Linked DNA regions of Mus musculus: regions 1, 2, 4, 5, 6 and 7 are each reported to be linked to region 3. Evidence: microRNA targets listed by miRTarBase, many of them from high-throughput screens and not tested one by one. Region 3 holds a microRNA gene; each other region holds the end of a gene's coding sequence.
Evidence for each region. The annotated mature microRNA mmu-miR-758-3p reads UUUGUGACCUGGUCCACUA and lies in region 3 at 1,923-1,941, opposite strand. An mRNA with a match to its seed (bases 2 to 7 or 8) in the 3' UTR can be bound and repressed. Matches are read on the target gene's strand: a 7mer-m8 pairs with bases 2 to 8, a 7mer-A1 pairs with bases 2 to 7 and ends in A, and an 8mer does both.

Region 1: miRTarBase lists Shank2 as a target of mmu-miR-758-3p. Seed matches in the 3' UTR shown: 7mer-A1 at 1,607-1,613.
Region 2: the mRNA of Celf1 is a reported target of mmu-miR-758-3p. The part of its 3' UTR that is shown has no 7-base or 8-base seed match.
Region 4: the mRNA of Cbfa2t2 is a reported target of mmu-miR-758-3p. The part of its 3' UTR that is shown has no 7-base or 8-base seed match.
Region 5: miRTarBase lists Skida1 as a target of mmu-miR-758-3p. The part of its 3' UTR that is shown has no 7-base or 8-base seed match.
Region 6: the mRNA of N4bp1 is a reported target of mmu-miR-758-3p. The part of its 3' UTR that is shown has no 7-base or 8-base seed match.
Region 7: the mRNA of Kcnv1 is a reported target of mmu-miR-758-3p. The part of its 3' UTR that is shown has no 7-base or 8-base seed match.

What each region holds. Positions count from the first base shown.
Region 1 is chr7:144,420,591-144,423,685 of GRCm38, forward strand. Shank2 (SH3 and multiple ankyrin repeat domains 2) reads left to right here. Exons shown (of 16, transcript NM_001113373.3): 16 at 1-3,095. The coding sequence ends at 545. Among named protein-coding and RNA genes, the nearest start is that of Gm34621, 2.6 kb to the left of the region's middle.
Region 2 is chr2:91,012,831-91,015,925 of GRCm38, forward strand. Celf1 (CUGBP, Elav-like family member 1) reads left to right here. Exons shown (of 14, transcript NM_198683.2): 12 at 1-12; 13 at 408-572. The coding sequence ends at 535. Among named protein-coding and RNA genes, the nearest start is that of Gm13777, 17 kb to the right of the region's middle.
Region 3 is chr12:109,711,704-109,714,798 of GRCm38, reverse strand. It overlaps Mir758 (microRNA 758), which reads right to left and starts at 1,989; the gene lies at 1,909-1,989. It overlaps Mir380 (microRNA 380), which reads right to left and starts at 2,996; the gene lies at 2,936-2,996. Mir1197 (microRNA 1197) reads right to left here and starts at 2,482; the gene lies at 2,363-2,482. Mir323 (microRNA 323) reads right to left here and starts at 2,291; the gene lies at 2,206-2,291. It also overlaps Mir329.
Region 4 is chr2:154,534,860-154,537,951 of GRCm38, forward strand. It overlaps Cbfa2t2 (CBFA2/RUNX1 translocation partner 2), which reads left to right. Exons shown (of 11, transcript NM_172860.2): 11 at 25-3,092. The coding sequence ends at 321. Among named protein-coding and RNA genes, the nearest start is that of 1700003F12Rik, 12 kb to the right of the region's middle.
Region 5 is chr2:18,043,139-18,046,233 of GRCm38, reverse strand. Skida1 (SKI/DACH domain containing 1) reads left to right here. Exons shown (of 1, transcript NM_028317.3): 1 at 1-2,147. The coding sequence ends at 624. Among named protein-coding and RNA genes, the nearest start is that of Skida1, 3.8 kb to the left of the region's middle.
Region 6 is chr8:86,842,060-86,845,059 of GRCm38, forward strand. It overlaps N4bp1 (NEDD4 binding protein 1), which reads right to left. Exons shown (of 7, transcript NM_030563.2): 7 at 1-2,982. The coding sequence ends at 2,628. Among named protein-coding and RNA genes, the nearest start is that of Gm33877, 8.1 kb to the right of the region's middle.
Region 7 is chr15:45,106,109-45,109,203 of GRCm38, forward strand. Kcnv1 (potassium channel, subfamily V, member 1) reads right to left here. Exons shown (of 3, transcript NM_026200.3): 3 at 176-3,095. The coding sequence ends at 2,866. Among named protein-coding and RNA genes, the nearest start is that of Kcnv1, 7.3 kb to the right of the region's middle.

The sequences.
Region 1 (3,095 bases), not on the chromosome of region 3:
CACGGAGCACGACGGTCACCTTCACTGTCCGCCCTGGCACCTCCCAGCCCATCACCCTGCAGAGCCGGCCCCCCGACTATGAAAGCAGAACCTCAGGACCTAGACGCGCCCCAAGCCCTGTGGTTTCACCAACGGAATTGAGCAAAGAGATCCTGCCCACCCCTCCCCCTCCGTCCGCCACTGCAGCCTCTCCCTCCCCCACACTCTCAGATGTCTTTAGCCTTCCGAGCCAGTCCCCTGCAGGGGACCTCTTTGGCTTGAACCCAGCAGGACGGAGCAGGTCACCATCTCCTTCAATATTGCAACAGCCAATCTCAAATAAGCCTTTTACAACTAAGCCTGTCCACCTGTGGACGAAACCAGATGTGGCAGACTGGCTGGAAAGTCTGAACTTGGGTGAACACAAGGAGACGTTCATGGACAATGAGATTGACGGCAGCCACCTGCCAAACCTTCAGAAGGAAGACTTGATAGATCTTGGGGTGACTCGAGTTGGGCATAGGATGAACATAGAAAGGGCTTTGAAACAGCTGCTGGACAGATAAGGGTGGCTGCCCTGGGCCTTCACAGACTCCTTTCTTATAAGTAGAGATGGGCTTATGTTGAAATGTGTGGTGGCCAAGCAGAGGCTGACAGCACCAACCTCCAGTCTGTGGGTTTGTCTCTGGGTACCCAAAGATGTGCTGTGGGTGTCCCTTGGTGTGGCCAAACTGGGGCCACAGATATCTTGGGTGGCTTCTGTCCAAAGGGACAGTAAGGGGGTTTCTGTCCTGGTCTCAGAGGCTGCCATAGACGGTATGTGGGACCCTCTCCTCCTGTGGCAGACACCAGTGTACTCCAGATACCTCCTGAGGCCTCCCTCCTCTGCCTTCTGGGCAACTCTCACCCCTCAGCCCTGGAACACAGCCTTTCTTCAGGCCTTTGGCCTCTGGGTGGGCTCATTGGCTCTGTCCCTCCCCTGTGCTTGGCTCTCAGTGAGCAGTTCCAGGTGGAGCCCTGCCTGAGCCAGACTGTAGAGAACACTGTCCCATCCACCTCTTTGTCCGACTCCTGTGACGTGCATCGGAGCTTCTTTGGCCCCTAGGTCCTTGGCAGTGGTGGCTGTGGACAGGATCGTGCCCTGCTTGCTTAACTTGCTGTCTTTATTTCTGCAAACAGATTAGCATAATTCCAGGGTGGCCAAAATGAAGTCACACGGAGTTAGTCAAAGCACAAAGTCACGATCCTGAGGAGGAGGGAGGCCTGGCTGTAGAGCCAGCCAATGTGTGGCTGCCCAAGCCCACAGCCTCCTCCAGGGCAAGGACAGGTGTCTGCCCAGAGCATCTGCCCAGGAGGGAGAGGTTGGGGCTCTTGAAATTTACTCTAATTGGATGTCTGCAGAGCTCCACAGAGGTCAGAACAGGTGAGCAGCTACTTTTACAAGGACAAGAGGACCTGAGGCTTGTGGTAAGCATGGCTGCCATCGGGAAGCTGCTGTCCTCCCTGGTAGCAGATGGAATGCCATACCCTTCATCTGCACCAGGCCTTGGCTGAGCATCCTGCCGAGGCAGCCCTTTGGCTCTCAGAGGCCAAGAAAGGTGGAACTCAGGGGCCTTTCTCCCTTCTCTCACAAAGTGGGGATCCCACCAGCTTGTCTTAACATCTGGCTCTCAGAGAAGCCCGTGGTCAGGACCTGGTGGAGGACAGAAAGTGGGGCACAGGCTGTGGCAAAGTTTAGGTGTGTGTGGAAAAGAAGGTGGGGAGCATCGTGGACCAAGCCTCACCTCAGGCCCAGCCACCTGAGCCCACCCTTCTCGTCCCCAGATGTCTCCCTCCCAAAACAATACCTCTAATGTCCCAGGGAGGTCACTGACTGCACACAGCCACCATGCAGCCAGCCAGGCTCCCGAAACCCCCTCTCCCCCACGCTCAGAGGAGACTCGAATGTCAGGTGACGGTTTTATCATTTCAGAACTAGCCCAGCCCATCTCTAATTATAAAACATCTTTTTCCTTTTTTTTTTTTTCTCTCTTCACTTATGCTCACAACCACGTGTCTGACGAGGCCTGGAACAGCGCTACAATGAACACATAAAATTTAGCAATTAAAAAAAATCTTTCTTTACTGCAAGTTTAAATATGTGTACAGATAGTTCATAAGCACAATACTTTAAGAAGAAAATGGCTGGTCTACTAGGCAGCCTCTGTGCCACCCAGTGCTGGAAAACTAAAGGGAAAGGGGGTTGTGGTTTAAAAATACCATTTCCTTGGGACAATTATACAAGCGACCTTTAAAAAATTAACCTTCCCTGGTCACATCCGAACCTGTGACATCAAGTTGTTTTTCAGCTTTTGCCACAGTTTCATCATTGAAGGGCAATTATTTCATCAAAAAGATTAGAACCCATGACTCTGCGGTTTCTCCAACAACAATGCACATACATGCATACTACACACACACACACACACACACACACACACACACACACACACACCCTCATGCATCCACCACAACCCTTGTTATGGAGACCAGACCTTTGAATCTTATTCTGTCCCCAAAACCCTTTGCAGGTCAACCCTAACTTCTGAGTCATCCAGTCAGCTGGTACCAGGTGACTGTTGAGCACCACGCTCTGGGTTCCCTCATCCACAGCATGGCGAATGAATGAGTAACACTCCAGAGATGCTGCAAGTCCAGACACTGCGGGTAGCCACTGAAGAATTCAGAGAGTGTGAAAATGTGGCCTCGCCATTAACTTGTCTTCCAATGGGTGGTTCTTCGAAGTCCCCTCAGTGTGCCATAGCACTAGGCTCCTTTCCTTTGCTTCTGGTTGGCATTACCTCTGTGCTCAGTGCCAGGCAGATGCTAGGCAGGAGAGACCTGGTGGCTTGGGGCACGCTGAGCTTAGGCAGCAGGTGACAAGCTGCGACTGCCTTCCTTAGACTTCAAGCCACATGCCTCCAAGCAGAAGCAAGCTGACTGTCAGCCTTGGAAGCTGATAGGCCAGCTTTGCTTTGCAGTGTCTGGTCACAGGAACACAGCTGGACCTATCAGAACTGACCCCCAATCACCCAAACACACATTTGCCTAGATACTGGGTCTCTGTCTCTGACAGT
Region 2 (3,095 bases), not on the chromosome of region 3:
GCAAGTGCTTTGGTATGTTGACCTCTCTTCTGGTGTAAGAATGGGATTAAGTATTTTGCCACTGAGAGAGAAAGAAAGTGGCTGCTGACAAATTGAGAAAAATCTGAGTTTGAGTTTGACCTTAGCAGATCATATGACCTCTTTCTGAGCTTTAGTTTTATCTGTAGTAGAGGTAGTGATTTCTGCTCACAGTATTGGTCCAGAGGAACTAGTGTATAGAAATGGCTTTGCAAGGGGAGAAAGAATACTGGTAAATGTCAGGCAGTAGCTTTGAGAACCTGATTGTAGTTTCATGTGGTTGTCATTGCCAGAATTGTCGTTCATGCTGAGAACAAATAAGATACGAACAAGGACTGAACTCCTTGCTTTGTTAGGTTCCTCACCTAGGTTTCTGCTTGAACACACAGGTTTTGTAAGTTATGACAATCCTGTCTCAGCTCAAGCTGCCATCCAGTCCATGAACGGCTTTCAAATTGGAATGAAGAGGCTTAAAGTGCAGCTCAAACGTTCGAAGAATGATAGTAAGCCCTACTGAGTGCTCCCCTCTGAGACTGGAGTGAGAAGATCTTCTGGTAAGTGGGGGAGGAGCACCCTTAATCATTCGAAGCCCTAAGGCTGTGTGTTAACAGCCCTGGACCCTGATCCCTGCCACTCTCGCAGGCACAGCTTGCCCTGAAGACTCAGCTACTGCCTTCTGTGGGAGTGTCGCTTCGTACAGAGGACAAGTTTGTGCTTTGGTTTCCAGTGTTTTACTTTGGAGTTTAGGTGCCATATCCTGAGGGGTTTTGTTTTGTTTTGTTTTGTTTTGTTTCTTTTTCCCTTTATTTAAAGTTTGCTGTGTTTGTAACCAGTTTGTTGAGAAGGACCAACACCAGTCCACCTTGAGGAAGAGGGAAATGGGTTTAAAAGATAATTAGAACATGCCCCAAACCATGGAAAGAGAGGGCTGAGCAGAACAGAAAGTTGATCCCCGAAGTCTCTCTCCCTGTGTGGAAAGAGTGAGAACTAAGTCTAATGAGGTACGGGGTGGGTGAGTGGGTGAGGTGTCTTAGCTTCTAGACCCCTTAGAACTGGCTGCTTTCTGTGGAAATGCTGAATTTATGCCACCTATTTTTCTAATTTTTGTCCTGGATTTCTGCCCTTCTTTCCTAAAAGGGGGTAAGCAAGTCTCATGAAATAATGCACTTTTCAGTTAGCCTGAAATATGCAAATAGGAGGGAGATACCCATGACTAGGCAGCCCAGCCCGACATTCGTGTTATATTGATTGCCCTGCCTGGTTGGTGGCTGTTTAGGGGAAGCAGCCAGAGAGGTCATTTTCATTAATTTTAACATGAAGTTAGAATGTACCCATTTCCAGTAGTCTCTTTTGTAGAAAGTATATGGAAGTTCATAACACCAAGGAATGTTGCCTCCTTCTCTGGCCACAGTTTTCTCATGAGGGGACATAAGACACTCTTAACAGCATCTCTAGCCAACAAGGGTGCAGTTCATGGGCAGAGCAGTCAAGAAGCCATCTGATTAAGGGAAGAGAGACCTGCTTCTTGGTGTGCCTGAATCAAGGTCACTTCAAGCCACTTTGCTATATTTGAGCAGAGCCTAGTATTCAAGAAGGTTCAGAAGTGCATTTCTGATTCCTTAATGAAGGTACTCCAAAAGCTGTGTTCCCATAAGGTCTGGCAGGCCTCTCCTCTAGCCCCATTTTCTGTCCTTGAAGACAGAAGAAAGTATAGGACGTTTACAGGCTCCATATGGATTTAGTGTTCATTTACCTCAGTATTAACCCATGTTCATTTTGTCATCATGCTTACAGTAAGCTCCCTGCTGCCTTTCATGGGTCTTAACTCCAGCCTTTGCCAGTGTCCCACATAGCCTCTGGGCTCTCCTGCTCTAAGAGAAGCTGTGGGAATGTGCATCTGAGCAGAGGTAGCCCTATAAATATATGATTAGTAGTCACAGCCAGGGCCTGGGTTCCTGGGTCATTGGAAGCTTAAACCTCATAAGTTACAAGTCTTGACTCCTAGCAGCAGAGATTAGAAGGGGCTAACCTGCTTTAAGTCAGATAGGGACTCTCCTTGTCATGCTGTCCCTGTGGATAACAAACAGGGATTGACCATCTTGCTGTTGTACAGGAAGTTGTTAGTGGTGTGTTATCCCATTGATGCTGGGACAGCTGTTCTCTTATAGTGATAAGTTGAGTCTGTTGTCCTCTTAAACATGAAACATACACTTCTTAAGCTGAACCACGTAAACTTGAATTCTGTGCACTGGGAGAAAAGTGTCCTGTGTTTCAAGATAAAACTGTTCTAAAGGCTTCCAGGGTATTGATGGAATTTTTTAAAATAATGCAAAAAAAATAAAAAATAAAAAACTTTAAAAGGAAAAAAAAGAAAAAAATGCTAGGTTGGGCAGGCACTGCTCAGAATCCCAACCGGCCGGAACCAAGAATGTTGTTTCTATTTTTATAGAAGTTTTATACAGCTCCGGGGTGGAGAATATTTATTACCTAAATTATATCTCTGGAAAAGGCCAGGATTTTGTAGAATCCAGAATGTGATTGTTGTACACACAGGGTGCTGTGTATGATTGAAACTACTGACTTTCTGTGACCGTTTGCAGCCCAGGTAACCTGTCCAAGGGGAAGGCTAACATTAATGCTGTGAATTGGCAGAGGCGAGAGCTGTGCTCCACAGGGAGCTGCCAGTGCTGTGCTCCCTAACCTTCTGTTCTGCCTTCCTCCTCGGCCAGAACATCACGTTCTCCCTGCTCCTCTGGTTCCCTCTAGCTCTCCCATTTCATTGTCCACAGATTTGTCCTGTGCTCCAGGACCAAATGAAACTTTCCTAATGATATTAGAAGCAAAGGAGTGACCCCACCTTTGGAACAGACCCCAAACTTCATACCTACTTGTGATTTCTAAAAGGAGCACTTGCCCCAGCAGAGCCATGGTCAGCCATGGCTGGCTCAGTTAGCCAGCTAGCCAGCTGGGGAGACCATGTACTTCCATTATCCCGTTTGCCCAGTGCATTAGCACAGCACTAGCACTGTCCTCGAGCACAGTTCCCTCCCCAGGCCAAAGATGGTTTTGTTGAAGAA
Region 3 (3,095 bases):
TGCTGTGACCCTTTAATATACTTCCTCATGTTGGGTAATCCCCAACTGTAAAATTATTTTCAATGTTACTTCATAACTGTGATTTTGCTACTGTTATAAATCATAATGTAGATATCTGATATGAAATGCCTATGAAAAGGGCTCATGATTTGCAGATGAGAATTGTGTTCTACCTGGAACCCCACAGAAAGCTCTACTGCTGACCACAACCCTGGGTGGAGTTAAGGACTAAGAACAGATTTCACATCTTTTGTTTATTTGTTTGTTTGTTTGGTTGGTTGGTTGGTTTGGTTTTTTTCGAGACAGGGTTTCTCTGTATAGCCCTGGCTGTCCTGGAACTCATTCTGTAGACCAAGCTGGCCTCGAACTCAGAAATCCACCTGCCTCTGCCTCCCAAGTGCTGGGATTAAAGGCGTGCGCCACCACTGCCCCGCTCCAGATTTCATATCTTAAAGCTCACTGGGCAAATGTGTGTGCCAATTTCAGGTTTGCTTTCCTACTGCTAGAACACTGCTGATTCCAAGTCTCTTATTACAAGGATGTGGGTGTGTGTGAATAGCATGGATCTAGGTACCATCTGACACAGTGGGTGTTCTCTACAATAGACAGTCCTATAGCAGGGGTTGGCTGATTAAAAGCCCATCACCGTGCCTCCAAAGCATGCTGGACATGTGTGGGGGTGGCTGTGTCTAACCTGTTAGAAGCAAAGTGGGTGCAACCTACCTGTGATGACCTGGGGTAGAGTTGCCTCGGTGGCTGCCATCTTCCCCAACTTTGGAACACCATATTGGTTGAGAAGTCCTCCTGAGAATGGACAAGATACTGAAGGTTAGAAGCACAGGCAACAGAAATCTGATGTATGGGATGGGTTTTGTCCGTCACTCACTTGTTCATAACTATTAGTGTGTCCTCAGCTGAGGCTGAGGTATGGACCAGAAGGCCTCCATAGTTTGTTCTGATGGGAAGAGAGGTTGACCAAATGTGTTTCAAACACAGAAACCCCTCTTCCACATCCTCAGTTAACAATAACAATGACACCTTCCCAAACTGGACCTTCAGACCTGGCAGGCCTGGGAGGGTTTAGAGGACAAAGGACACCATTCAGAACGATAATCCACTCGCTGGCTTTGTGGAGAACCAGTTATTCCTGTCCCCTGGCTGGATGCTGACAGGACCATCCTTCCCTGAGACTGGGATCTGGACCACGAAGCCTCCAAGATGGGATTTGATACTGAAAAAAAGGTTAGCTGGGTGTGTTTCATTCTCATCAAAGAAACAGAGACCCAGAAAACCTCTCTTCCGGTACCAGAAGCGAACACTGACAAGACTACCTCGGTAATTCCCCAACGTGACCTTCAGACCTGGCAGGCCTGTTGAATGCAGGGTTGCACACTGGATGTTAGTCAAAGTGCTCAAGCAAGCCATTAGTTGATATATATCTGACAGCCATCCCATCACATGCCCCAGTACAGCAGACCTCCATGGCATGATCCTGAAGTTATGTCACAACCAGAGAGCAGTGGCGCAGTAGAGACTGGCTATAGGACTTACCACCATTTTGGGTAACCACAGAAAGGCACAGATGCCCCCAAACCAAAGATGATTCCTCCCACAGATTTAGCATGCAAGTGTGCTAAGGTGACCTGCGACCTGTGCCATATATAAATGGCATACACACACCCTGGTCATGTCTGACAACATGGTACGTTTCTTGAACTTGGATGGCCCCATATCAAGGAAGGGATCCAAGTATAGGACAGCATTGGAAGCCCATCCAATACTACCATAACAGGCACATATGTTGCAAGTACTGAGGATGCTGTCTCCAAGTCTAACAGCGTACAGCTGGCTTATTGCCTCTGTCCCCAAAAGTTGAGATCTCTTCCAGGAAGTTCTCCAAGGGAAGGTTAGATACTGAGGGTTAGTGGACCAGGTCACAAACGGCACAAATATAGCGTGTGCTCTCTGGTCAACCACCTCACGCACCCACACGTGTATCACATGTCGATGCCACTTTCCTGGTCTGCAAGTCACCCTGCCCACGAAGCTGCCAAGCCAGAGAAATTTGCTGAGAAGAAGGCTGCCACACAAGAGTTATTGTCAGACACAAGAAAAGACAAACCCGCTGGCTGGGTTGCGCTAGCACACACATTTAGTGTCCCCACCCCACAGCTGGTGTTAGCTCCAGGAAAGCTCGCAAGGCGGGATTAGATACCGCAAAGAGGTCGACCGTGTAATGTGCGCCATAAATGAAGCGAACGCGCCACGGACCACCTCTCTCCAAGTACCAAGCAGCAGCAGTAGGAAGACCGGGACACTGGCTCTTCCTCAAAGCAGATGTCACCTCCTGGAAGTCTTCCAAGGCGAGATGTGATATTGAGAAGAAGTAGACCATGTGTCCTACGTCATAAATAAAGCGTACACACCATGGTCAACCGCATCTTCAAATACCTTGAGGTAACGCTGGCTGATTCCAGCTCACTTTACTTAATTTGGTGTTACCTCCAAAATGCCTTCTCAATGAGTGTCACAAACTACCAGCAATCGGCATGTGTGGCAATGGCCACAAACTCATGTTTAATGCCACTATGACTTCCAGGATGCCCTGTAAGGCTGGGCTGGGTGCCAAATATTGGCTTTGGATCAAATGGCCAGAGTCGTAGGTAATGAACATGGCCTGTAGCCAAGCACTGGGTAATCTGTGTTGGATAGGGTCTGCCGCCTGAGCCCTACTCTCAATTGGTATGGCTTTCAGAAAGCCCCTGGTGACCGGCTGATGCAGAGATGTGGTGGACCATGCTGTACATGCTGGAATTAACGCACACACTCGACAGTCTACCATCTCCCCAAGTACTGTGCTGAAGCCAGGACAGGATATCTCCCATGAAGTTGGCTCGGTCTCTGGAAAACCCTCACGAATGACTTTGATAACGAGAAGATGTGGACCATACTACATACGACACAGAAGTAGCGCATGTTCTATGGTCAACCATCTTTTCAGGTACCATGGAGAGAGGGTGGTGCAGGAGCTGGCTTCTTTCCTCATGATTATCACTTCCAGGAAACCCTAGATGCAATGTTGAAAAGAGACCACC
Region 4 (3,092 bases), not on the chromosome of region 3:
CTAACTGACGCCTGTGTCTTGCAGAACTGCTGGAACTGTGGCCGAAAAGCCAGTGAGACGTGCAGTGGCTGCAACATTGCTCGCTACTGCGGCTCCTTCTGCCAGCATAAGGACTGGGAGCGGCACCACCGCCTCTGTGGCCAGAGTCTACATGGCCACAGTCCCCACAGCCAGAGCAGGCCACTGCTCCCTGGAGGGCGGGGCTCAGCCAGGTCTGCTGACTGCAGTGTGCCCAGCCCAGCCCTGGACAAGACCTCAGCTACCACCTCACGGTCCTCAACACCTGCCTCTGTGACAGCCATTGATGCCAACGGGCTCTAAGCTACAGACTCCACCTGTCCTGATGACCCCTCCACATGGGAGCATGCTTGCACCAGTGAGCTGGCTATTAGAACAAGTAGCTGTTGGGTCGTCAGCAAGAAGTGAAGTTGGCAGGAAGCATCCAAGAGGCACTCCACAGCTTCTCTGGGATTTGCCACGTGTCCTTGGAAGAACTAATGTATCATTCTCTGCACACAGGAAGTAGCTTGAGCTGCCTCCTCCATGGCTTTCCTGAGGTTCCTCTTCCAGCTAAAGCTGGCATAACCAGCCCCTTCTCAGTGTATACACCAGCTCCCTCCGACTCCTTGCATTAGCATATTGTCAATAGTGTCCCACACTGTCCACAGTAGAGGCCTGAAGACTGGTAGCAGGCTTAGGAGGAGGCCCTTCCTTCCCCTGTCTTCAAACAGTTCCTTGAGCCCCATATCCACCCTCGAGTGACACTGATTGGCCTAAAAGAGACTTGGATAGCACAAAAGCAGTACTCAGGACTCTCTCCTGAGCTGCTCAGAGCTGTTAAGATGCTCAGAAATGCAAGAAAGAAGTCACTGTTTCAGTAAAATCTCTAGTAATGATAAAAAATTAAATTAGTCTTCCCAAGCATCATGGATCATTTTGGACAAGATTTTCTAACTTGGCTGTCTTCGTTAGTTTGGAACCCACCTCTTAACTCCAGTGTTTTTCTTGATTTTGCTTGTGTAAAAAATAATCTCCATCGCATGGATCGGTCTGAGAGAGGATGGAGCCATTGTGCTAGTCTTTTCTCTAAGCATGTTGGCCAAACTAAAATATTCCGTGGATCACCTTGGAAATGCAGAGCCTCTGCCACTGCTTGACTGTTTAAAACAGTCGCCTTGTTGTATGTGTCCTTCTCTCTGGGACTGCATGTCTGGATCCTTGGGGATGTCTTGTGAGTAGGTTCTGTTTGGCACCTAAGCAGTGCTCCTAACCCTGATGGGATTATTCGCACCTGGTTTTGACACCACCTCATAGGTTTATTATCAGGTGGACATTTGAGGCATCCTTTTTCTGTGCTCCGTGTTTATAGTCTCCCTCACAGCTCAGAGTTTGTGAAGAATGGGAACCGTTTTTGAAGAGCCTGACCTGTTTTTTTTTTTTTTTTTTTTTTTTCCCATCTTCAGGAACTTTTCCAATTATCTGATTCTCCAAATAGAATTTGGAGACATCGATCTGGTCATTATTGGACCTATTGATCAGGCCAAGTACTGCTCACATCTTTTCCTTGCCATCTAAAGTTTATTAGTTGTCAGCACCTTGCATCGGCCACTCAGTATACTCCAGAATCGTTTTGCCCTGTGCAGTCAATTGGGATAAGTCATTGCCTTTGATCCTGTTGGCTTTTGGAAGCTGTGGTCACTTTTTGTACAATGAACAAGTCTGAAGAACAAGTCTGAATACTAACACTTGCCCCATAAAAGTATGGATTTAGTGTCTTTGCACACAGTTAAGGCTGATTTAAAAATACTGAGTTCCTATCTCATTGGAACAAGGGTTCTCAGACTTAGAAAGTAGACCTTTAAAATCATGTTATTTTAGCATAGAATACCCAAGACCCACTGTTTGCCAGACAGCTTAGTACAGCCTGGCCTCCCTGGTCCCATCCCATCAGTCTAGTGGGGACAACTTTGACTTACTAGATAGAGTTAGTACCAGACAGCACTTGTCCATACTCAGACACAAAACTTCGGGCAGATCAGGAGCTTCTGTGAACATGAGAATGTCTCCTGGTGTGCCCTGGTCAGTTACTCAGTAGTAAAATGGATGAACACCCTTTAAGTGTTAAATTTTTTTGCCACAGAACTACTCCAGATAGTTGGAATAAAGAGCTAGAACCAATACATTACTACTTACCTGGTTGGAGATCAGTTTGTACAGCAAACTGGGTTACAAAATCTAGCCTACCTTTGTGGGCTGTGTGATTGGCCTGTCCGATTCTGAGTTTCTATAGTGCTGTTGGGGACTGCTTTGCTTCTGTGTCCTACCCAGGTTTGTCTACACACTCGGACAGTACTTTACACTATATAGTTCAGTTCTCAGACTTGTCTCTATCTTGCCTCTGGTCAGCATCACTCTCGGGGTTTTGTTTTTGGTTTGGTTTGGTTTGGTTTGGTTTGGTTTGGTTTGGTTTTTCGAGACAGGGTTTCTCCGTGTAGCCCTGGCTGTCCTGGAACTCACTCTGTAGACCGGACTGGCCTTGAACTCAGAAATCCGCCTGCCTCTGCCTCCCAAGTGCTGAGATTAAAGGCATGCACTACCATGGCCCGGCTTCAGCATCACTCTTACGTGACATCTGTTTAGGACTTTTCAGATTTAAGGAGTTCCTTTCTGCAGTTCTCCAACTCCTCCCTAGGCAGGAGCAGCAGCAGTAGGAGCTGGAGCTACAAGTGATTCCTGGCTCACCGCTTTGTTTCTAAGTCTGCTTATATGAGCCACCAGGCTGGGAGTGAACATAGAGCTTCAGGCTGCTCACAAGTCTGGCCTCTGCAGTAACTATTTGAGGAAGAAAAGTAGTCAGGGCTTGGTCATTCTGTACCAAGTGAGGGATAAAATTTCAGGAAGTAAATAACAAAAGTAGCCAAACTGGGAGTTCTGCACACCAGTCCTCGCTCCAGCAAATGAAGACTTGTTGAAGCTAGCTTGGGACATGGCTTATTTGGTAGCATGGACTTCATTCCCAGTGTGGCATACACCAGCCATGGTGGCACATACCTGTAATCCTCTAACACTTAGGAGGTAGAAGCAGGAGGACC
Region 5 (3,095 bases), not on the chromosome of region 3:
CTTATTACAAATAAGCTAAAGTGGGAGTGCAATGATGCCGAGGGTGAGTTTTACAATATGACTGAGAAGAAGGAGGAGGACGCCTTGGTACCCACAGCCAAGGAAGGTTTTGCATGCCCTGAGAAAGAAACGCCTTCCTTAAATCCACTGGCTCAGAGTCAGGGCCTCTCATGCACTTTAGGATCTCCAAAACCTGAGGATGGGGAATATAAATTTGGTGCCAGGGTGAGAAAAAATTACCGGACACTAGTACTGGGCAAACGACCAGTCCTTCAGACACCTCCAGTCAAACCAAATTTGAAATCAGCTAGAAGCCCTCGTCCTACAGGTAAAACTGAGACACATGAAGGAACACTGGATGACTTTACAGTTTTAAACAGACGCAAAAAGGTAGCCAGCAATGTAGCATCAGCAGTGAAAAGGCCATTTAATTTCATGGCAAATTTTCCTTGTCCACCTTCACTCATTATTGGGAAGGATGGGGATTTGTGGCCAGCGTATTCCTTAAACACCACTAAGGATTCCCAACCTCCTCACAAGGCCCATCCTATATGGAAATGGCAGCTGGGCGGTTCTGCAATACCTCTTCCACCTAGTCACAAATTCAGGAAATTTAATTCATAAAAAAATGTTTTGGAAGATATTTTCTCGAACCATATTACCTTCCTTTTGTTGTAAACTGCACAGGATGGCTTGTACCAAGTCCATTAATGGTGTTACACCCCTTTTGGAGTCCTGGTTTATCGCATTTTGAAGACAAAAATCGGATTACTTTTTTTTCCCATTGCGGGTTGTTTTTTTTTTTTTTTTATGGTGGGGGAGGGGTGGGAGAAGGGTTGGTTTACATACCACAGACTACTTCAGGCTAAAGACTCAAGTAACACTCAGTTATTATGGTAGAGCTGGAACACTTTACTGTTTCAATGGTAATAATGCACCGGTACCTCAATTCAACTGCTACAAATAAATGTCAAAAGGTTGAATAATAAATATCACAATGAGCCATTAAGTTTATGCACTAGATTTCAGACCTGAAAGTGTAACTGGTATTCAGTGAAAGTTTGTTAGGTTACATGGTTACACAATGAGGTAGCAAGAAGTTTCTGTGAGCCCAAATGTAATTTTCTGGAGCTCTTATTTGTGGGGTGTCTTTTTTATTTTTTTTCTAAACCCAGATTCCCTTTCCAATAGTAGTTGCACTTAACTGTTTTTTTGTTTTGTTTTGTTTTGTTTTTTAATGGAAAGATTGGGGGTCTGAGTCCTGATTGGATGCTGATTTAAAAGCTGCCCATTGTGTGAGAAGTAAAAAAATACTTTTTTTTTTTTAACCTTTACAGTCACTCCTTGCAACTGGAAAAGCCCCTTCTGCGCTCTCACCCAAACATTTAAAATAGGATGACTCTTGCTGTGCTCCTGCTTGTCTTCTGATCTGAAGATAACTCTTCAAGCTTTCAAAACAATTAAAACATTTCTCTTAATAGCAGGATGTTTAATGGTCTAACTCATCCTAGTGTCCAAGCAGTAAATACAACCAAGAAAAAGAGTCATAACACCCCAAGTGAAAAATAACTGATTTCAGGGCTTTTTGGTATTAGAACTCAGGCACTTGGATTTTATTACCTTATGCTTTTTTTTTTCTGCATCTCTCTAAACTTCTGTTTCAGGCCATCCTGTGTATAGAACAGGAGAGTTTCTACTGCAAGTGACAATCAGAGGTGACTATCTATATTTGCACTTAAAATCAAAGTAGTTCCACAGGCAAGTGGTCTAGCCCTTGGTGAGGCCATGCTGGTGGACTGTGTTGTAAAGATGAGAGCAGTAAATCAAAATTATGGAAATTTGCACTGTTGAAAAGCATGCTTTAGCTTTATTTTCAATTAAAAACACTGTTTAAAATTCCTGGTTCCATACATTTCTACTTATTCCAGATTGAAGAAGGGTTAACAAGAATGAATGGCTTTGTTGACATTTTCACTTGTAATGTTTTTGCCTGAAAGAAATGCATTTATTGGGTGCAGTGTTTTGTGGTAATACTTTGTGATGAGACCAATCAGGTTCTGGGCACAACACTGGCAAACTTCCTCTCAAATAACAGAAAAACTTTTCAAACTTGTTATAGGCCAACTATTAAAAAGTTTCATATCTAAGAAAGTGAAGCATAAATCAGTTGTTATTTTAACGAAAGTTGTATCTAGTAATTTTTGGGTCACCAAATTATGTATCTTAGATCCTGGTTATCTTTAGTCTAAGAAGTTGCATCTACAGACCATAAATCACAAAGCAAAACAAAACACCACTAAGATGTTTACTGTGTGAATTTAAAGCATTATTTCTCATGGAAATTCAGCTATTTATTTTCCTTAACCTTTTAATTCCTACCCCCCTTTGAAATTTTCCCCTTGACTATAAATGTTTCAGATAGTTCTGGATGGTCTCAGACCTAATTGCTGTGTATTATCTGTGGTTTTCCTCCTGTTGTAAAGGACAGAGGCTGAGAATACCTGCATCCAAATACATTTGGATAGAGTGAACAGATGCTTTGAACTGCCTTCCTTCCTTTTCTTCTTGAATGTTGCCAGATGTAGGCTCACTGGAATTTTTTTTTTTTTTTTTTGAATCACAGATATGGTCAAAGCAACATTGGGGGATGTTATTCTTGAATTCATGTTTGTATATATTTCCAAACGCTAGTCCATAGTCTCAGTTAAAAGTGCCAGAAATCCAAACTGGCTTCTGAGCTCGAATCCATTCCTCTTTGGAAGGCAATGAAGAATTTAGGGACAGTGAGTTGTCTTTATAAAGAAAAACAAAACAAAAAACAAAAGCAAAGCAGTCTGTAAAAAGTATGACACCCACACAGGGGAAGTCTGTAATTTCCATTCTTTAATTAGTGACAAGACAAGAAAGTTCAAGTGCAGAAACTGCTGCATTTGGACGAGGACTTTCCATGGTGGCTACAGACTGTTACCAAATTATAAACTGAGAATCTATTTTAAGTCTACAGATCTTGAGTGTGGAAGATTGTAAGATGGGATAAACACAAAATTAAGACAAATATTCCATAGAATTTTGGGCAAAATATGAGGCTGCAGCTT
Region 6 (3,000 bases), not on the chromosome of region 3:
GTGGTTCACCTTGAGAGCCACCTGCTGAGAAACTGAATTAAGGCTAGGCCTTCAAGAAGAAAGGAATGGAGCGCTTCAAGAAGGAAAACAGAGAAAGGGAGGCCAATGGCTTTGCTGTCTGTAGCTACTCCATTAATGATGAAATGGCAACCAGTGATTTCCCAGGCTACTCCCATGTGGTGGGCAGAAGCCAAGTTTCCAAATCTGGGAGGGGAAAGTGGGAAGCCAGAGAGAAGCATTAGCAACAGAACGAAGGGTGTTTTAACTAAAGGGATCAGAGGAACCAAGTAACGATTCGGGCGAACAGTGCAACTGATGGACCCAGCTGAGGTGGCTCAGAATGCTGAGGAGGGACAGCCCTGGAGAGGTATGGGGAGCAGGCAAGGGCCTGGGTGAGCCTGGTGCAGAGGGCCTGCAGTAGATGCCCCTCCCAGGGGGAGGGCTAGGTACTTGGGACTGGCAAGGAGAGGTGGAGCTCTCTTTCATGCCTAACATGTCCTAGAAATACAGCTGAGCCTGTCAACCACACTGGACCAGGACACACACACACACACACACACACACACACACACACACACACACACACACGACACCTTGTCCAATGACCAAAGGTATCAGCCTTAGCTGCACTGGCCGCCTCAACCAAATGCCAGGATACACAGGAGGCAGAGGCACTCCACACAGGGAGGAATTCCAAGACGCTCCCAAGTTCACTGAGGAGGCACTGGAGGGATGGAGGTCAAGCATCTACAAGCACCTAGCAGCAACAGAGCTTTGGATGAGGCAAAGAAGCAAGTTGTGAGCTTTCTTCAGTGGCTGGATAACTGGGCTGTAAATGTTATACCTAAATGTGACAGATTTCACAAAGAATCTAGAATTATATTTCACATTATAATCTACAAAGTAATTAATGCCTTTTGGTTTCCTCCAGCTTTTTCCTCCCTCCTATATGGGGCAAGGGGAAATGGGCAGGTATCTCTCAGAAACAATACTAAGAACACAGAGGCACACAACTCAAAGATCAGGCTAGCCGAAGGGCCTTTGAGAGCCTGTGCTCCTCAGGCCAGCATCAGGCTGAGGCAGCTATGGAGTACTCCCGGCTCTCCTGGTTCCCAGCAGTGCTGGGCTGGGATTGACCACACCAGGAAGCCCTGGAGACAGCTCCACCTTGGCACCTTTGCTGTGCTCCCAAGCTGAGGCACTGGGTGGGGGACTGTGGTGGGTCAACTCCTGGGGCTGGCCAGAAGTCTCTGTTCTGTACTCACACAGCCTGCAGGTCTGAAACCCCCTAGGGACAGATGACAAACAGCTTCCCAGCAGGCTGGATCATCAACAAATTCAGGAGAGATCACGTAAGTATGGCCACCTAGAAGGCTCTGTTCATCTCCTGATGGGTGCAGGGACCAAATGAACCAAGACACGGCATGGTGGCAGCATTCTGTGATCTACACAGTCCCTGCACTACGGATAACAAACCAGCACCAAGTCCACGGTTACCTGCGGGACCGGGAGAACAACAATCCACAGGGCAGTGAATTTAACCACAAGGGCCTGGAGACTGCATGGATGGAGAACACAAAGCCCTTTGAAGGTCCAGGTGAGAGCCAAGACACTAAGAATGACCAGGAGGGGGTTCACAGACACAGACTTCAAGCTACACCGAGAAGAGACAATACTGAGATAACTGGTTCTGAAAGACTCAGGAATTGCTGCTAAGAAACCTCTAAGTAGACAAAAGAAGGGAAATGCAGGGGCTTTGAGGCCCTTCTGAAAGGACTAATGCTATTTATTGGCTTGGGTCATCCTTGAGAATAGAAAACTTTTTGGCAAAGCTGTACAAACGCCACATGGGGGGGGGGGGGTCTCCTCACCAGAGGCTTCAGTGCCTACCTTGTCTTCTGAGGCTAAGGTAGCTGTGGAGCCAGGGTGGGAGCATGGCGGCCATGGCTGGTGAGTGCACTACGGAGCTACGCCAGTCAGGGAGCATGCTGGGGCTGTACGTCCTCTAAGACTTCCCACCTGCTCCTCAGTCTGACTTTGTCTGGCCACTGGTGACAGCCCGGGTGTCAGATGCCATCTAGTGGCTCCACTTCTTCACTCTCATAATGGCTCGCTGAGAAGGCCCCACAAGAGCAGAGCAGGCCCACTCTAGGGATGAAGGCAGGGGAGCACACGCCATGTTTAGTGAACAGGACAAATTACCTCAAGAAAATAGACTTTAAGAAGTCTTGCTTTCCTTAAGGAAGCAACTCCTTTTTTTTTCTTAATTTTTTTTTAAAATTTTATTTAGAAAGGCTAACCATATTTATTTGTCATTTTTTCTTCAGCTTTAAGGAAAATAGTTTAAAAAACATAAAACTGTAAATACACTCAAGAGTAACTGCTATTAAACAGTTCTGAACAGGCAGAAAGAGTACTTTCCTTTTACAGAAAACGTTAAGTCTGTAATAGCAGCATAATTTATATATAGAAAAAAGCTGGCTTTGAAACCCCAGACTTTTGTATACATAAAACATTTCCCTCCTTTTTCTATACAACACAGCAATGCTTTCCGGGAAGGCTTCTTCACGTTATGGTCCATCCCACGGTTGGCAGTTCCCCAGCATCAGTGGGCTCCAGCCCAGCCGTCAGTCCAACACCAGGGCCGACAGGGCATTCAGGTCTTTCATGTACGGATGAGCTGCCAGGATCTGGTCGATCTTCAGCTTTTGCTCAGAGTCAGGGAAGATCTTTAGCAGCGCCTCCCTCAGCTCGCTGGTCTCTGCAGAAGATCTCTGTGCTGGCAGGGGTGGGTTCTGCTGCATACTGGGAAGGGTGGCCAGAGCTGTGAAGTGGGACTGCTGGGGAAGCCAAGGGCTTGAAGAGGTCTGGATCCGGGGTGGAGGCTGGTGGCTGTTGTTGGCTACCTGCGTGCTGGGACTCCGGAAGCCAGGGTCAAATGTGCCCACACTTGGCAGGGCATTGAGTAGCGGCTGCATGTGTCTGTGGATGAAGTGAGAG
Region 7 (3,095 bases), not on the chromosome of region 3:
GGGGTTCATTTTTATTCAAACTACCACACCAACCATATATGATTTGAATTAAGACCTACTCCATGAGATGGAACCCATCCCTAACACTACTTGAGGGTAAATAACCAGAGACCAATAGCCCAGAGACCTAAGGGGAAGACAACTGTTCTACTTAAGGAATATAACAAAACAAAATGATTTCTAATAACATCTTGCTATATTCACAATTTTGTGCCTTGTTCAGTCATCATCAGAGAAATACCTTTTTGTAGTACATTGAAACAAATACAAAGATACAGCTAGACAATGTTCATAGTGCAAGAGACTTTGATACACTCAGTCCTAAATGGATTGTCTCCATCATACCTCTTTCTTCCAGACTTACAAAATCCTGTGGAAAAAGAGTCAGGGAGATTGTAAGAATCAGAGGGAATAGGGGGTCCAAAGCCCTCTAAGCACAACAAGATCAATGCACAAATGAAAACATAGAAACTGTGGCAGTGTACACAGAGTTTTGCCTGGTTCTGCACCAGATGGACTCCCAGAGACAAGAGGAGAATTTAACACAGCCCCTTTCTCTAACCTGGAAGTTATCTCCAGTTTATAACAACTCATAAATGAAAAATCAGTTTTCTCCATTCATTGTCTCCTACCAGGAATGAAAACCCAATCATAAGCAGTAGATAGCCAAGACAAAACAAACTTAGAGGCATCTTTTGAGGTTCTTTGTCACATAATATCTTGTGAAGTATTTTTTTATTTATTTTTATTTATTGTAGCCTTACAGGTACTTTGTGTATCTATCATGGCATCAATTTATGTGTTTTTATTGGATTCCTTTGTGTGCAAGTGTGTGTGCCTTTTCTATGAGTGTTTCCCGTGCTTTCCCCCTCTTTTCTTCTTTTTCTGTTGTTCTAAATCCTACTTTATATTATTATTATTTATAATTATTTTTATTATTTAGATGTCTGTGTTTTCTAAGGGAGGGAAGAAAAGGTGTGGATTTTGATGTGAGGGGATATGGGAAAGATCTCATAGGAGTTGAGAGAAGTGAAACCATAATCAGAATGCATGATGTATTCTGATTCACAATTAAAGTAGAAAAATTATACTAAAAAAACTCATGCCATGGAAATTTCATCAGATTTTAAGCATGCATATAAGAAAAGAGGAGGTGTTACCTTGTTTCTGTGGTAAATATTATGATTTTACATATCTAAATTAGGAATGTACTTAGAATCTATGATGTCATAACAATGATTGGCACCTTTATTGCTGCTTGGTAGTTTGTAAGATAGTAAGATGCCTTAAATACAGTTGGTGAAATATATAGGCACACATTAAACAGAACACTAAAAATTATAAAGCCATATGTTAAGACAAAGGATTATTGTTTTTACTTTTTGAGACAGGGTCTTACCATTCCTTGATGTGTTCTTGAACTTGCACTTCAGATGAACCTGACCTAGAATGTGCTATGCAGTCCAATTGGCTACAGGTTTATGTGTCTTCTGGTTTAGCTTTCCATGTGTTGTGATTTGGGGCTTGCATTACAGGATTAAAAGGAAACTGTTATTCAATGCTTATTACCATCTAAGTGTTTTTCCTAATTCTATTCTCAGCGAAGTTTTGATATTGCAGTTATTCTGCATGTATGCATATGCATTTCATGTGTATTTGCTTTAATAAATAGGGAGAGTAACATTTCTATCCCAGAGCCAATTTTATTTATTTTTTAAGGAACTTTATTGCATATATCAAGAAAGTAGGCAATAAGGAAATCCTTTGTTAAGCTTTTCAAAATATTACTTTGTATAATATTTAGAACCAGGGTTTTTCTTAACTTTAAAACTTTTTGGTTTAATTATATTTCACAATGTCTAGGCATTGTAGTATTACTATAAATACCAAAGAAGTGATGGTGACATCTAAACATTTGTTATTTACCTCAACAGTCAGAAAGCTTCTCACAATATTGTTTTTAACAAATAAAAAGATCTACAAGTTCATCTAATGATGTCATCCAACATATTTCCACTTATGAAAAGACTATCTAATCTTTTTGATGGATAAATTTAGGATCTTTACTACTTCAGTTTTACATATTCATGATTTTGAAAGCATAGCTTAAATAATTCATCTATAATGAGATGTTTTATAAATCATTTAATTTTCCTAGAGAGCTATGCTGCATTCTTCTTCACACATCACACTCAGCTGGGAAGATGAAGCTGCCTAGGCACTTGAAGTCTCACCTACTCCACTCTTCAGTTTGAGGCTTCCTCTCGCAACTGAACTGATGGAGGGCAGAGCTCGGTCCAGTTGGACCCAGTGACTTGTACTTGATCGAAGATGAGGTACTCACTACGGCTACTAAGCTTAAGTGTTTGATTGCAAAGCTTATCTTTATACTCAGTGGCTTTACTTGATAGAGAAAGAAATAACTTATTTGGAGAAAAATCTTTAAATGGCAAAAATTTCTTCAGTGTGTTTTTAAATGTTCAGTTATTCTCCCACCCCTCTGGACTGTAGAATTCGACTTCCATTAAAAACAGAAACTATAGCGCTACTGAAAGCCCAACAATAAAGACACATGAATCTTTAAATTTTGATGTATGAAATTATATTAATTGATATTTGAAAATTCAAATATGTGTTTCCTTTCCCAATTGATTTTGGTTGTATTAATTGGCTATGTTAAAGATGTGTGTCAAAATAATCAGTAGTTGCTATAGGAGATGTTAAATATTCTAGGATATCAATACACCAGAAAGAAGATGAGAAGTGCTCAAGAAAGTCATCATCAATATACAGATATCCATAGCAGCAAGGCTTCATCAATCCAGCTAAATATACAGAGGTTTTGTAAATAAGTTGAAGGTAAACTTAAAACCAGAAATCATCTCCACCACTGCTTCTAGTACTTGCTCTCTCCCTGCCCTTTAATCGAAGCATCTCCATTATGCTCCGGGCATAGACATCCCTCAAGTTAACACTAATATATGAGTCAGTGGCTATATTCTTGGTAAGTTTCTTGAGAGCTTCACGCTGTCTCACAGCTGCTTCCTTGAGTTTCAAGGTGAAGTAGCAAGCAGAGAATCGATCATTAATAATGG